Lytechinus pictus: one gene and its partner. Each later gene encodes a partner of the first gene's protein in a complex. Links are inferred from orthologs where the notes say so. Each region holds a gene or a part of one and is shown in the gene's direction. Other genes may lie near its edges.

Region 1 (7,104 bases):
GTTCGTAAGTTAAAAGCGACTTTAAGAACGACTGGTGAACCTTTCTTACGCTCTAAAAAGAAAGGATCACCAGTAGTTATTAAAGTCGCTCGATCTTAACTTACGATTAGCTTTATGAAACGGCCCCCTGAAAGCATAGAATTTTAAGCACTTTGGGGTTTCTGCTTCTCATCAGAGCATTCCCTACGGAGATTATGTGAGCGGGATCTGACATTTATTTACCAGGGGCGGATCCAGCTTTCGTTTATAGGAGGGGGGGGGGAGTGGAAGATATTTCATCTATATGTTTCCAGATCGGATATTCTAAGCACTTTTAGTAACCGTGAACATGATGGGTATCTAAACAATTTTTTATTGATGCGAGTGCGAAACTCGAGCTGAAAATTTTTGATATTCTGACCTCAAATTTGGAAAGTCTGTAAGCACTTTTGTTAATCAGGAAGGGGATGATATTTATGTCAAGAGCTGAAAATTTTTGAATTTCCGACCCAAACCTGGACATTCTAAGCACTTTTTGTAACCATGAACAGGAATGGATGCATCTTTATAAAATAATTGATGCGAGTGTGAAGCTCGAGCTGAAAAATATTGATATTCTGACCTAAAATTGACTTTCTATGCACTTTTGGTAATCATAAACAGGATGGACATCGAACTTTGCATTTGATACGAGCGCGAGCACCAAACTCACGTGAAACATGATTTTGGCGCCCCCGGTCAAACATGAGATTGGCGCCTGAATGGTCGAATATGAATTTGGTGCCCCACCCTATATAGGTTGAACATGAATTTGGCGCCTCAGGACAAACATCAAATTGACGCCCCAAAGGTCGAATATGAATTCGGCTTCCCTTCCTATATAGGTTGAACATGAATTTGGCGCCTCGGGACAAACATCAAATTGGTGCTCTTATATAGGCGCCCCTAGGTCGAACATCAATTTGGCGCCCCCTATGTCGAACATCAATGCGGCGCATCGAAGTAAAACATCAATTCGACGCGCCCCTAGGTCGAACATCAATTCGGCACCCCCCTAGGTTGAAGATCAATTTGGCGCCCATATGCCAAACTTCAATTCGGCGCAAGCCTATGTCGAACAGAACATCAATTCGGCGCCCCCTATGTCGAACTCCAATAAACATCAATTCGGCGCTCCTAGGTCGAACATCAATTCGGCACCCCCCTATATAGGTTGAAGATCAATTTGGCGCCCCTATGCCAAACTTCAATTCCGCGCCAGCCTATGTCGAACAGAACATCAATTCGGCGCCCCTTAGTAAAACATAAATTCGGCGCCCCCCCCCCCCCTAGGTAACACATCAAATCAGCGCCCCTTGGTAGAACATCAAATCGGCGCCCGCTATGTCAAACATAAATTCGGCGCCCCTTATGTCGAATATAAATTCGGCGCCCCCTATAACATCAAATCTACGCCACTAAGTCGAACATCAATTTGAGGCCCCCCCCATCCATTCGAATATCAATCCGGCACCCCTTTCCCTCTTTTCCCCATCTCTCTTTCTTTCCCTTTCTTTCTCTTTCTTTTCTTCTTTCCCTCCTTTTTTCACCCCTTTTGTTTTCTTCTCTTTTCTTCTTCTTTTTGGAGCCCCCTTTTTTGCCAACCCGGGAGGCCCGGGCCCCGAAAGCACCCCCAGAATACGCGAACGTGAAGCTTTTGCACTAGCTCTGTAAACGTGAAGAGTCACATATCCGGTCCGAGCAGTGCATGGGGGGATGATTGCAATATATTGACCTGAAAATTCAAAAAATTTGGGACACCCCCACACCAAGGGGGGATGTATACGGGGGTATTATAACCATGCATGTTCATAATACTACCATATTTCAGTTTAAGGCCTAAAACGATTTTTGGGCTATAAAGTAATGAATTGCAATTAAATGAATTGCAATTAATACCAATATGCGACCGAGCGAAGGGAGCCAGCAAATTTTCCGTAGTATAAGGGAGACAAAAGGGTGTCCAAAACCTCTTTTCAAGTGGTGTGTAATTATCACATCACGGGCAATGTATACGTATATACTGTAAATTCATATTATCATATTTCAGTTAAAGGCCTATCATGATTTTTTCCAATGGATTTATTGTAATGGATTTGTTGGAATATATAATGAATTACAGTAAATATCAATATGAGAGCGAGCGAAGCGAGGGAGAATTTTTTATGATAGTTGGAAGGCAGAATGATGAACAAAATCGTCTGTCAAGGGGTGTGCGATATAGTGGGAGAGATGCAACGAGTGAGCATAGAAGTAAATGGTAGGTAGTAAGTAGTAACTGTCCATATTTTGTTCAATGAAAACTCACTTGCTCACTGGTTAAAGATGAGATGAGAATGGATCATGAATCGGGAATAAGGGTACTTTATGATTATAGGTATTACAGGCAACAATATAAACTTCCAAAAAGGTGGAAATACCACAATCGTGCAAATCAAAAGAAACATATTGCAGAAAAAAAAGGTTTTGAATAGTTTTTAAGATTATATTTGGAGATGATGCAACATTGAAAAATTTGAATAAAATTAATATTTGAAATATTTATTAGATTGTTATGGAATTAATGTGATTTTAGGTCTCCAATAAACGGATGAAATTGTAAATATTTTTTAAATATCGGTGTCCTAACTTGCCTCTGTGTGACATTGATTTAGCCTATATTTTTGTCCAAAATCCCCCGCTTCCAAAAAGATGCTAGGATAGTAAAACTTCCCCCAACATTCACGCCAGTGTATTCAAAGGATTTTTGATTGGGTCATGATCAGCTATAACCATATTAAAAAAATAATTTGTATCATACAATTCATAAATGGACGTATGCATACTCTCATGCTATGCAGGGGATATAACATTTGCAATGTACTAAACGTAGGGATTTGTCATCGCCAAAATCTTGTAAGATTTTGTGTGTTTATTTGAAGGGGTATAGTCCTAACAGTCACTTTATAGCTTTATTAATTTAAAACTACATAAATATATTTTAGTCCTATTTAAATATTGCGAACGCGAAACGCGAGCAGAATTTTTTAAAATACGTTCTGGCCTGATCGAGAAGGGACCTGTTACGGACTGTTTGCAGTTAGCCATAAAGACGAGAAATATTTCAACTATGAAATTTATTCATTTTATTTATTTAGCAAAAATATTTATACAGGGTAACAGATCAGCTACCTTGCTGTTTACGTCAAAGTCCTGATTAAAAAAAATAAATAATGCTAGCGCACGAAGCGCGAGCTAAATTTTTTTGACATTCCGACCTTAAAAATTGACACAGCACTTTTTGTAATCATGAACAGGATATACAAATATGACTAAATATTGACGCCCGAGGCTGGGACCGAAGATTGACCCCTGGGGCACGCCACTCGTCACCATCCTCCATTTTTATGTCCAATTAAGGACTTCTCGATTTTGTCTTCTACCAGTTCAATCAGGCGCGAATCGAGAAATTTTACAACTAGGGTGCTACAGGATCCAGGATTTTTAAGGGGTGGCACATTCTACCCTTTGGAAATTTTACAAGCAAAAAAAAAAGGTTTTCACCTATATTTGTCAATTTGTCTCTCTTTTTATTTCTTTTAAAAAATCATACGGGGTATATCGCGCCTTCAGCCCCCCCCCCCCCGGATCGGCGCCTGGTTATGAAGCATTCTATCCAATTAAAAAACACAATTGTCAAAATGGGAGTGCACGAATAATGACGTGGACAGTTTTATTTGTTTTCATAATTATATTGAAAATGAAAGGGGAAAACGAATGACGGTATGCTATGTCCCACTAGCTACCGAAACAAAACACCCCCAAATATTTTGTGTCATGAATCCACCCATATCTTACATCGTAGTCTTTTTGTTCGTCATGTTCAGTTTTATGCACGCGCGTCAACCCCATATTGCTGCTTGCACGTAAAGCTCGAAGATCTCTACCTGAATGCGAGCCCAGCGCACCTTGGCCTACCCGATGACGCGACGCGTCCGGCCCGGCCGCGCCGGCGCCCCGCTGGCCGCGGCGTAGTATCCGTGCGATTACTCCTCGCAAAGATACCCTACGAGTAGCTAGCTGCTGCTTGTTATACTAATTACTAGTCAATGGTATGGAGGCCAACAATGGAGGCCCTGGATCGATTCGATCATCAGCAACGATTGCACATCATGATCATCATCATCCAATAATTAAGAAGAGAAGAGTGTGTGAATCCAAACTTAAGGTCGACGAATTCGAAGAAGGTACCGGTAAGGCGGTATGGATAATGGAACGATGAAGGGGGGTGGGGGGGGGGGTAGTCTGGAGCCTCCTGGAGAGTAAATATCAGGGGCCGATTTTCCGGGGGGGGGGGGGCACTCGACCAAAAACGTAGTGGGTATGTGCCGCGGGCGAGACAAAAAACGGGCGCCAATGTTTGTGTTTGGTTTGTTTGAAGCTACCATATGATTGTATAAATATTAGCCGGCATGTTCAGCCTAGGCCTTGTTGAATAAAGGTGTTCATTTTGCATCCCAATCTGATGTGGTAATTTCTCCCTTTTTATTGTCGTGGTGTCAGCGCTAGGTTCGTTCCCTGCCACATAGGAATTTTTAGGCCAAAACTGGGTCACGCATCGACAGTTTAGGACTATAGCTGTAGTGATTTTTGCAATTTGAACTGGCTGATTCATCCCTCCATCAGCGTTAGCGACACACAGGTAACGCTTTGATAATGATAGCCTCACGTATAGTACGATACGATGACGCAGTCAGCGGAAGCGCCCGCACAGTTGCGCAGGTTGAGTCGGTACGAGACTCCCGAATCCTTCCTAGAGTGGAAGCGTAGTTTAATGATGAATTTGTGTTCATATACTGATTTTTTGCCTTTTCTATCGGAGAGTATTTCATGGCAAAGGAAGTCGAAGGCAAATACCGTACGGGGTTTTGTTGACGATTCCTTTGACGTTGCTGGCGGTAAGACAGCCGCTCAGAAAGTTGTGGTTTTGGAACTCATGCTGGGGCAAATTTCAGCTTCTTGCCCGATTATCGCCAGAGGTTCTATTGTAAATAAGTCCACTTCACTTGCAGACATATGGGATCTTGTTTGCATACATTTTGGTTTCGACAGACAAATGCTAGCCAATGACAATTATCAATATCATGTCAGTCAAACTCAAAATCTTGATTGTTGTGAAGATGAGTTGAATGACAATGAATTGAGACATGATGCAGGACGTGAGAAAAATAATGTCAGTGAGTTGAGATGTGATGAAGGAAGTGATGAAAATAAACACGAAGACAACGTCAATGATAATGAGTTCAGATGTAATGATAGAATTAGAAGTGATCAAAATAAACATGAAGTCAATGTGTTCAGATGTGATGAAAATAAACTTGAAGACAATGTCAATGATAATGAGTTGAGATTCGTTGAAGGATGTGATGAAAATAAACACGAAGACAATGATATTGAGTTGAGATGTGATGAAGGAAGTGATGTAAATAAACATGAAGACAATGTCAATGATAATGAGTTGAGATGTGATGTAGGAAGTGATGAAAATAAACATGAAGACAATGTTAATGATGAGTTGAGATCTGATGATGGAAGTGATGAAAATAAACGTAAAGACAATGCCAAGGAGTTTAGCTTTGTACATGCAGACGAAGGTGGTATCCCCAGTCGTGATGTTGATGACATTGCTTTGCGAGAAGATGGAAGAAGTAGTCATGACGTGTTTCATTATGGTTGTAACATTGGAGTGACAGGTGATTGGAGTAGGCCTGTTCACACTAGCGATTCTTCGAGGTTTAGCGTTGAGTTAGATGGGTCTAGAGCTATATCGTCCGGAGATTTAGATTTAACCGACCTTGTAACACATTCTGTTAATCTTGATGGTTGCGCTGCTGAGTTGTCGGCAATGCATGTAGCTAATGATGATCATGGTTCTCACAATGATGTGGTATGTAATCCGGGTATTCCTACCGATGATGATTGTTTATCGGAGCCTGATCGTTTCCAAGGTCATGAACTCACTGTTGGACTGGGATGTGATCCCCCTTCACTTGATATGTTATCAGGCACTTGCACACTTGGTGCGAGTAAAGATCAGTTGAATTTCTGTGATGTTGTTGATAGCAATGTTCGCTATGTTGGTTCATCAGAGAGAGATGAAACGTGCAAAGACTTGTCAGTTATCCCTGGCAGTACTCCTGGTTTCCAGATTGTGCCAACTTCTACCTGCATTGACGGGGCTGATAGGCTCTTGCGCTCTGATACACTGTTCACTCATCACACGCCCGAACAGTGCATGCACCATTCACATACAGGCACTCGTTTTCGATTCACACATTCGAACGATAGGCTAGCCGTTCTCGATCTCGCTATCGGCCAAACTAACAATACCTCTGTTCGGTTCGCATGTTCGAATGATAGAATAGCCGTTCTCGATCTCGCTCTCGGCCAAACTAACAATACCTCCGTTCGGTTCGCATGTTCGAATGATAGAATAGCCGTTCTCGATCTCGCTATCGGCCAAACTAACAATACCTCCGTTCGGTTCGCATGTACGAATGATAGAATAGCCGGTCTCGCTATCAGCCAAGCGAGCAGTACCTCCGTTGACATGACAACACATCAACTGCGCCTGTATATGCTCGAGCCATCGTCTCACATTCAGTTATCTCCAGTTAACCCAACTAGAGCCATTGATCCAGGTGCTGATCGGAAGTTCACCATGGACTGCTTTGAGCAAAGTACCATCCCTGATCTACGTCAGGATCCACCACATTCTCTTCAGCTTGAGGATGCCCTGGTCCCCCAAGGACACCCCCCAGATGTCCATATTTACCAACATGGTGTTGTTCACTCCAGCTCTTTTGTGGTTGATGCCATAGCCACCACTGTCCAGGATGAGGAATTCCAATGTCCTCTAGACCGATACCATGATGACTCCACCTACCAGCCTGTGAGGGATACCGCCTCTGATGTGATCCCCAGCCTGGGTACAGTTCTTATGAGTACCAACATCTCGGTTCCCATGGGTCGACCCCCCGACGTCCAACGTGTTCGCGATGTCTCCACTTCATGTACCAGTGGAACTGCCCGAGATTGTCATCACAC
Region 2 (8,057 bases), on another chromosome or scaffold:
TATTTTAGTGTTTTTGACACCCTTATTACATTAAGTATGTAATGTGCACTATCTTTAAAAAGACATCCAAGTGTTTTGCCTTGGGGGTCTTTTCTTTCCTAATTAATTCTTTCTTCAAATCAACCTTTCTTCTAATATTCCTTCTTGCTTGTCCTTGGCTTTTGCAATGTAATGCCTAAAAGTATAGGCGACAATGCCTAGTTCTTTAGAAGAAGTTAGACTTTCTGACAGTGTTGGGAAACGGGCCCAAGGCCCAGCCAGGTGGGGAATTTGCTCGAAGATCGAAGACGAAGTCGGCCGGCGCGGTTGCACGAACGCTAACAACAGCAAAGCTAGGCGTCTTGGACTCGTCCTTGCCGCCTGCCTTGCCCGGCTGACAATGACAATGATTTTATTTCTTTGACGGCCCCTCCTGGGGGCATAGAAGAAATATAACAACTTACAACAATGGCAATAATAGGCATAAGAAAAAAATACCAAGGTAACAAGAATCAAACATGATGATAATAAACATATGTACAATACAAGAGCAGTAATAGAAATAGAAACGGGCACAAATTAACCCACCCACTCCCGACATGCCAGAGAGTATCTGGAGACCGGTACCCCACTTAGCATGTGCAGGTGCAATCCAACAAAATCTGAAATCATGCCCTAATACAAGAAAGTAACCAAGACAGCAACTACACTTAAGATATTAAAATTTTGACATAATGAATTTACAAAATCTTGACAGATTTTTCAAGTCTTTTGTATTTCGCATATTAAACAACTTGTGCATTTTAATCACGTTTGGTCTGACAAAATAATACCCTCTAATTAAAGCTTTCCTTTCACTTTCAAAAGCAGGACAATTAAACACATAATGAATCTCGTCTCCTGGCTCATGCGAGTCACATAGAGTACAAGTTTGCAAACCTTGATTAGGCAGGTAACGACCATTAGCAATTGGCAATCTATGATTTCCACAACGATATTTACAGAGTTCAATCCTATCTGCAAAATCTAATTTCACTAAATAGTTCTCAAACCCAAAATCTTGTTTGAATATCCTATAATTCATGCACAAACGGTTTCTATTAATTTCAGTATTCAATTCCTGTTTAGCAATATCATCCAATCTGAGACTCACAGTTGACTTAACCCACTTAACGTCCAAGACTATATTCTCAACACTCCACAGGTTAGACATCCCACATCTATCCAAAATGTTTTTCACTTTTACTATCCATGGTGACTTATAAAGGTCCCTATCATGAAGTTGACGCAAAAGCCTATAAATCATACTTGACAATTTAGATTTTCCATTTACACTTTGACGAATCCTTGCCCAAAAATTTATCATACGCTTTTCAATAATATAAAGCAGACTGACTCTTCCCAATTCGCCATATGCCATACAATTCGCAGACCCTCGACTAAGTCCAAGGAGGCTTTTTATAAACTTCTTATGAAACATTTCAATACAATCTACATCACCAAACCCCCAAATTTCACTACCATATAACAAAATTGGTACCACCAGCTGATCAAACAATTCACATTGAATGTCCAAAGGCAAACTCAACACATTGGCCTTACTTTTAAGATTAAACATTGCTCTCCTAGCCTGATTAACTTGCTTTTTCATAGCTTTCTTGAAGGAGCCATTGTAATTAAAAGTGGTACCTAAATAAATATAATCCTCTACGACGTCAAGAGCAGTATCCCCAAACAAAAACTCTGGATATTTACGAACCTTTCCACGTGAGAAAATCACAACTTTAGTCTTGCTTGTATTAACAGAAAGTTTCCACTGCTCACAATATTGATGAACAGCCGACAGAGCAGACTGAAGTTCTTGAGCCGACTCAGCCAATATTATTGTATCGTCAGCATATAATAAAACATATAGTCGTAAGAAAACTTCCACATCATCATTGCTCAGGTAGTCCCTTATTAGAGAAGAGCACATATTTAAGCCTTTATAATACCGACTAACAAAATATTCAAAATCATTAAGAAAAACTGCAAAGAGCAAAGGAGATAAATTTTCACCCTGACGCACTCCGATATTACAGGTAAAGAAATCAGAAATGTTATATCCATACTTTATGCATGATTTAGCATTTTCATACATATTATAAACAACACTAATAATCTTCCCATTGATACCACATGAAATCAACTTCGACCAGAGACTAGATCTGTCAACAAGGTCAAAGGCTTTTCTGTAGTCAATAAAGGCACAGTAAATTCTCTTCGCATCGTGTAGATACAAATCGATCAAACCATGTAATGTAAATATGTGATCAAGGGTACTATGACTTTCTCTAAACCCTGCCTGCTCATTGCCTAAAATTCCTGCACATTCCAAATAATTGGAAAGCCTAGAGTTAATACAAGCAGTGAACAATTTACCTACACAACTCAACAAAGTCATTGAAGAATGGACTAGGATATTAGACGATAGCCAACCTATTGATGTTTTATATCTAGACTTTAAGAAGGCTTTTGATGCAGTACCTCATGAAAGACTTTTATTGAAGCTGAAAGCTTATGGAATTGAGAACCCTCTTCTTGCCTGGATTAGTGCCTTCCTGAAAGGCAGAAAGCAAAGAGTGGCTATAAATGGAGTGACATCATCTTGGACAGATGTTAAGAGTGGTATACCGCAAGGGAGTATCCTCGGGCCAATCCTATTTGTCATTTTTATTAATGATTTGCCTAGTGACATAAACTCCAGGATCTTACTCTTTGCGGATGATACTAAGATGTACAGAGCAGTAGGGAATGATGAAGAATCCAAGGCCTTACAGGCAGACCTGTCCAAACTTACCATGTGGGCTGAAAAATGGCAACTTCCTTTCAACCAGAATAAGTGTACAGTTCTTCACTTTGGGAGAAATAACAAGAAAGATAAATATCACATGAATGGAGATGAAGTTGCCTCATCTACCAGAGAAAAGGACCTGGGAGTATTGATTGACTCGGAACTCAAATTTCATGAGCATATATCAATGGAAGTAAGCAAAGCCTATCAGCTCCTTGGTATCATCAGACGGACTTTCACTCAACTGGACACAAGGACCCTACCAATTTTGTTTAAGACATTGGTAAGACCACACCTAGAGTATGGCAACATCTTGTGGAACACTCAATGGAAAGAAGATGCGGATAAAATTGAGAAAGTCCAGAGAAGAGCAACTAAGATGGTGCAGGAGATAAAAGAACTCCCCTACTCAGATAGATTAAAAGTATTGGACTTACACTCCCTGTATTATAGAAGAAGGAGAGGCGATGCCATTATGGTATTTAAAATACTGAAAGGAATGGTCAAGATGGACTCAAGTCACTTTTTCTTGCCATCAACTAATTCTAGGGACAGTGATTTTCCGCGATCGCGGAAAACGGACGGAATTCACGGAAAGGGCCTTTTGAAACGGAAAGTGGCATTTCAAACGGAAAATCACGGAAAACGTATTTTCCCTAAAAATACACAGAATAGCAACAGAAATTACTCCGAAATCACAACAAAATGAGAATATTAAATGGCCACAAAACCCCAGAAAACACGATCTCACTTCGCTACTATCATGACAATTCACACGTCGTGACTGCACTCGACATCACCACACTCGATTGTACCCCGCACCGTAGCCGTACCCGGCGCCCGGCCGGCCGGGTTGGGCTTCACATGCACACATATCGTTCAACTACACGGTTGTGTGTTGCTGCCCTCTACCTTAGAAGATGTAACAGCACGATATCGTGGTCTTAAAATCCAAGATGGCGGATTGGCAAAAGCCGTTTACTGATGATAACGATGTCCAAAAAACCCCAAAATTATCGATGAAATATCATTTCATCGTGAAATAATGCTAATGATGTGAAAGGTGAGGATGTATGCATGCTAAATGGGTTTGTAAAAATATTTTATGCACCCGCATAGATCCGATTAGAACAGATTCTATTGTGTTGTTGGTACAGGCTAGTAGCAGATACAAATTTTGACCAGTGCGAGTGTACGTGTTGTGATTTTGCTATTCAATGTGTAAACGGAATTGTCACTTTTCCGTGTGTACAAAGTCTATGGGGAAACAGAATTTACGTTTTCTGACATGCTGAAACGGAATTTGAGATTTTCTGAAACGGAAAAGGCAATTTTTTGAAACGGAAAATCACTGTCCCTATAATTCACATCTTCGAGGTCATACGTTAAAGATATTTAAAGAACGATCAAGACTCGACATACGCAAATGCGTTTTTACTAGTAACCGGGTAGTGAATGACTGGAATAGCCTCCCCCAAGAAGTTATTTGACTCAGGCTCCATCGATGTATTCAAATTAAGACTCGATAAGTTTTGGTGGTCTGAGCGTTTCAATCTCCAAGTCCAAATGATCAAAACCGTCTCTACCCTACACGTGTGCAAGTTTTTGTTCTTATGACTTATGACGTAATAACACATCGTATGGAGATGGACTGCAATTTTCAGATGAAGAGATCGAGGTCAACAGGATTACCTCACCTCGTAACATGATGATGATGATGATGAATTATCAGGATCATCCACTGAACCTTTGAATCTGCTGGATTAACATAGCCCCACATGCTAGCATTCATGTTGTTGTTTGTGTGAATGATTGATAGCTGACTGATCATTAATTGGCTGTAACTAATAGACACACAAACACACACTTCAACAATAACATAACGGCAGGAGGTCGGATAGGTTTTCTTACCAATTTCATTCTGGCTATTCCGGCTTCTTATATAAAATGCAGGATATTCTTGCAGTGTTTTCTTTTGCTCGCCTCAGCTCAGTTCAGATGGGTATACCGTTCAGATGGTATGGTACGGTATCCTCGCGATAATAAAATACGGAAGAAATTAAGGACGGGCGCGATCGATCGCGAGACGAGTGTGGTTGCGGGGGATCCCTCGCCCGCGCCCCCGGCCCGGGTAACGCTAGGTACAGGTACCGGTACCGTACTTAAACCGCGCCTGCGCCTGTACCAGGTACTGTTGCCGCGGCCGGTCAACCAGACGCCATATGCACCTCATGTCATGTACTTATCAGCGGTTGTCCGCGGGTTGGTTATTGACTACGGTACATTACATGTACCAGTTGGAGATTCTCTTAACGAGTATTTTTAATCAGATTTACCGGTATCTGAGCCTGATCTGAGGCAGTGGGTCGTTACGTCAGCAGCAAGACGCCAAGACTCAAGAGTGACAGATAGGCATGATACTTGATAGGTGCGAGGAGGGTAAACTTTTAATTTTGGATTAAGGTAAGTGGCAAGGCAAGGATGATCGAGAGATTGAGCCGAGGTTTCACTAATTGTGAAATCTCAGTCAGGCTCAGCTCAATCTCTCGATCAGCATCCATGCCTTGCCACTAGTGTCTAGTATAGTCTAGACTAGACAGCTGCTGAGCTGGCAGGCATCTGTTTCGAGGAGTTTTTTAACATTTTTTTTTTAATGTCTCCTCGTACACAGACGGCTCGCTTAGCCTGGACTGGAGTGGAGGCTTCTGGGGAGTAAAAGTCATCTACTATACGTAGGCTGGAGTAAGCCTACGACTTCCGTATAGTAGATGACTTTTACTCCCCAGAAAACTAGCCTCCAGGACCAGAGTCCAGGCTAGGCTCGCTATCGTGCAGCCACGCATAGGCCCTAGGGGTTAACAATGCAAAATCCCCCCGACGGGGCTCATCGATTTTTGTCTTTATTTCATAAAAATATATAAAAAGAACTGTACCAAAATAAAGATTATTATATTATTCTGTTTTGGCCTGAAATGCACCAAAATGGGGAAAAAACTTCAAAGGGGGAAACACAGTGACTTACTTTGGCTGTCGCGCAACTTCATTTCCCAGTTTTATCCGAACTTAATACATAAACATATGGCCATCGAGTCCCTGTACAGATTGAGCTAGAACTTCGGTCTCTGTATTTGGTGAGTGGAGCCAACGAGTTCAGCGGAACAACCAACATAACATTAACAGAGACCGAAGCTTTTGGTCTAAGTCTAGACACTAGCCAGGCATCTAGCATGTCTAACATTAGGCCTAGATCTACACTGGATACAGAAAGAGACATCAAACTCAAAGTCCTTAACATTTATTTTAAGATTTCCTCTTGCAAATGATTCGAACTGTGTCTGGTTAACCTTTTGAAGAAATATGAGCAGTAGAGGCGCATGGCTGATATTTGAGTCTTTCTCCAATTTTGGAGACAATCTCTGATATTGGAGACATGCTTTGCAAAAGAGATAGGCAACAACACTGAACTAGAAAGTTAATTCCCCTCCAAAATTTGCAGCTAGGTCAAAACCACATGATAACAAAATATAAATGAAAACAAAAGTAGATGGAGAATTCTTGAGCATATATGGTTAAGAGGAGTAATTTTGCCACCATGGTAATCCCTCTGACGCAAATGTTAAACAGAAAAAATCTTGCATAGTGGAGACTGGCTCTTAAAGGGATGGTCCTGGCTGGAAATATATCTCGATAAAGTAGAGTAATATTCACAGAGCAAAATGCTGACAATTTTATCAAAATCGGATAACAAATAACAAAACTATTGAATTTTAAAGATTTGCATTATTCCGGTGAAACAGTTATAGGCATGTCTTTATGAATATTCATTAGGTGGGCTGATGATGTCATATCCCCACTTGTTCGTTTGTATTTTATTATATATGAAATTTGGTTTATTCAAATTTTTTCTACCAAAAACTAAAACAATTGAATTGACAACTGATTAAGTGCATTAGTTATTTATTGCCGCAACTTATTTCATAATGCAGAAATATCATTTACACATGTATGAAAAAATGAAACATTTATGATTTCATGTAATAACATAAGAAAAAGGAAAGTGGGGATGTGACATAATCAGCCCACCAAATGAATATTCATGACGATGTGCGTATAACTGTTTTCACAAAATATGGATAAACTTTAAAATTCAATAACTTCATTATTTGTTTTCCAATTTTAATCTTATTTTCAGCATTTTGCTCTGTGAATTTTACTCTTTTTATTTAGATATATAAATATTTTCAGCCCGGACCATCCCTTTAAATTGAATACTGATGTACAGGATATAATCTCCAGAATGGGAGAGAGTCTCCAACATTGGCCGTATGCCTCTACTGAGCTTCAAAGTTCAATAATATTAGTAAAATAATATTGATATTTAACTTGTAGATGAAAAGAAACAATTTAAATTATCATCTTTTTTTATTACAGACCATGGAACTGTATGACGAAGCTTATGATGAAAAATGGATGAAGCAAGCAGTGTGCATGGTTTGTATCCAATTACTATGGGACTGAAAATGAATGGTTACATATTTTTAAAAAGTTCTGTTAGTGATGTTAATAACACTCAGAAACCCTAACTACCATGTCTACTCTTTAGATTGCTTGTAATAGATGTAGCAAAATGTTTTGTAGTGAACAATGGTCAGTTCCCTATGAGAAATTAAGATATGTTTTCTTTTGTGCAGGGTAAGCAGGCCCTAAGTAGAGGAGAGGTCCCAGTAGGTTGTCTCCTTGTGTATAATGATCAGATCATAGGGACAGGAGGAAATGCTGTCAACCAAACCAAAAATGTAAGTTATACTGCTTATTACACACTTTGAAGCTGCAGAAAAGATAAAACTTTGTACTAAGGGATCAGAGCACTATATTATTGATGTCATTTTGCACCTCTTGCAGTCTGCACCTCAGGGTGCAAAGTTTGAATCTTAATTTATTAGTAAGCAGTACTACCACATCCTATCCATATATTGACATGAAAAGTCCATCATTGTAGCTGAAACCAGGGCGTCCCTGCTGAAACTCAGATAAGAATTCCCATGATTGATACACTCCAGGTCTCATATCAGGTCTCAGAGATAATGTGACTCAGTTTGGATAAGTCTCCCGACTTTGAACCACAAAGTCTGGGGTTCGAATCCCACCGCAGCACTCGCGTCCTTTGGCAAGGCATTTATCTACATTTGCCAATCTCCACCCAGGAGTAGTAAATAGGTACCCAGCAGGAAGGAATTCTGTGAAT

Evidence for each region.
Region 2: the proteins of probable inactive tRNA-specific adenosine deaminase-like protein 3 (region 1) and tRNA-specific adenosine deaminase 2-like are in contact, whole or in part, in a crystal structure (PDB 9HMM), measured with the Mus musculus proteins. The link is inferred for Lytechinus pictus from reciprocal best matches to the Homo sapiens genes ADAT3 and ADAT2. Residues at the interface, in NP_001094076.1 of Mus musculus: Val217, Ala218, Pro220, Leu221, His223, Ile229, Asp230, Ala233, Gln236, Gly237, Glu270, Ser272, Pro274, Val276, Val290, Met291, Met294, Ala295, His298, Ala299, Pro311, Asp312, Leu318, Phe319, Val321, Arg324, Asp326, Leu327, Asn328, Pro349; in NP_080024.3 of Mus musculus: Val62, Asn63, Lys66, Asn67, Ala68, Thr69, His71, Met74, Ile77, Leu81, His85, Pro91, Cys107, Ile108, Met109, Ala112, Ala113, Leu116, Met117, Arg130, Phe131, Val137, Leu138, Ile140, Asp144, Leu145, Pro146, Asn147, Thr148.

What each region holds. Positions count from the first base shown.
Region 1 is NC_087251.1:23,066,387-23,073,490, reverse strand, and holds the start of probable inactive tRNA-specific adenosine deaminase-like protein 3, read left to right. Parts: upstream 1-3,882; 5' UTR 3,883-4,111; coding exon 4,112-4,250; intron 4,251-7,104.
Region 2 is NC_087245.1:1,542,313-1,550,369, reverse strand, and holds the start of tRNA-specific adenosine deaminase 2-like, read left to right. Parts: upstream 1-4,873; 5' UTR 4,874-5,240; exon of another isoform or gene 5,241-5,275; intron 5,276-7,243; 5' UTR 7,244-7,246; coding exon 7,247-7,303; intron 7,304-7,503; coding exon 7,504-7,608; intron 7,609-8,057. Other genes in the region: integrator complex subunit 9-like, read right to left, coding at 4,724-4,732. UniProt on the Homo sapiens protein: Probably participates in deamination of adenosine-34 to inosine in many tRNAs.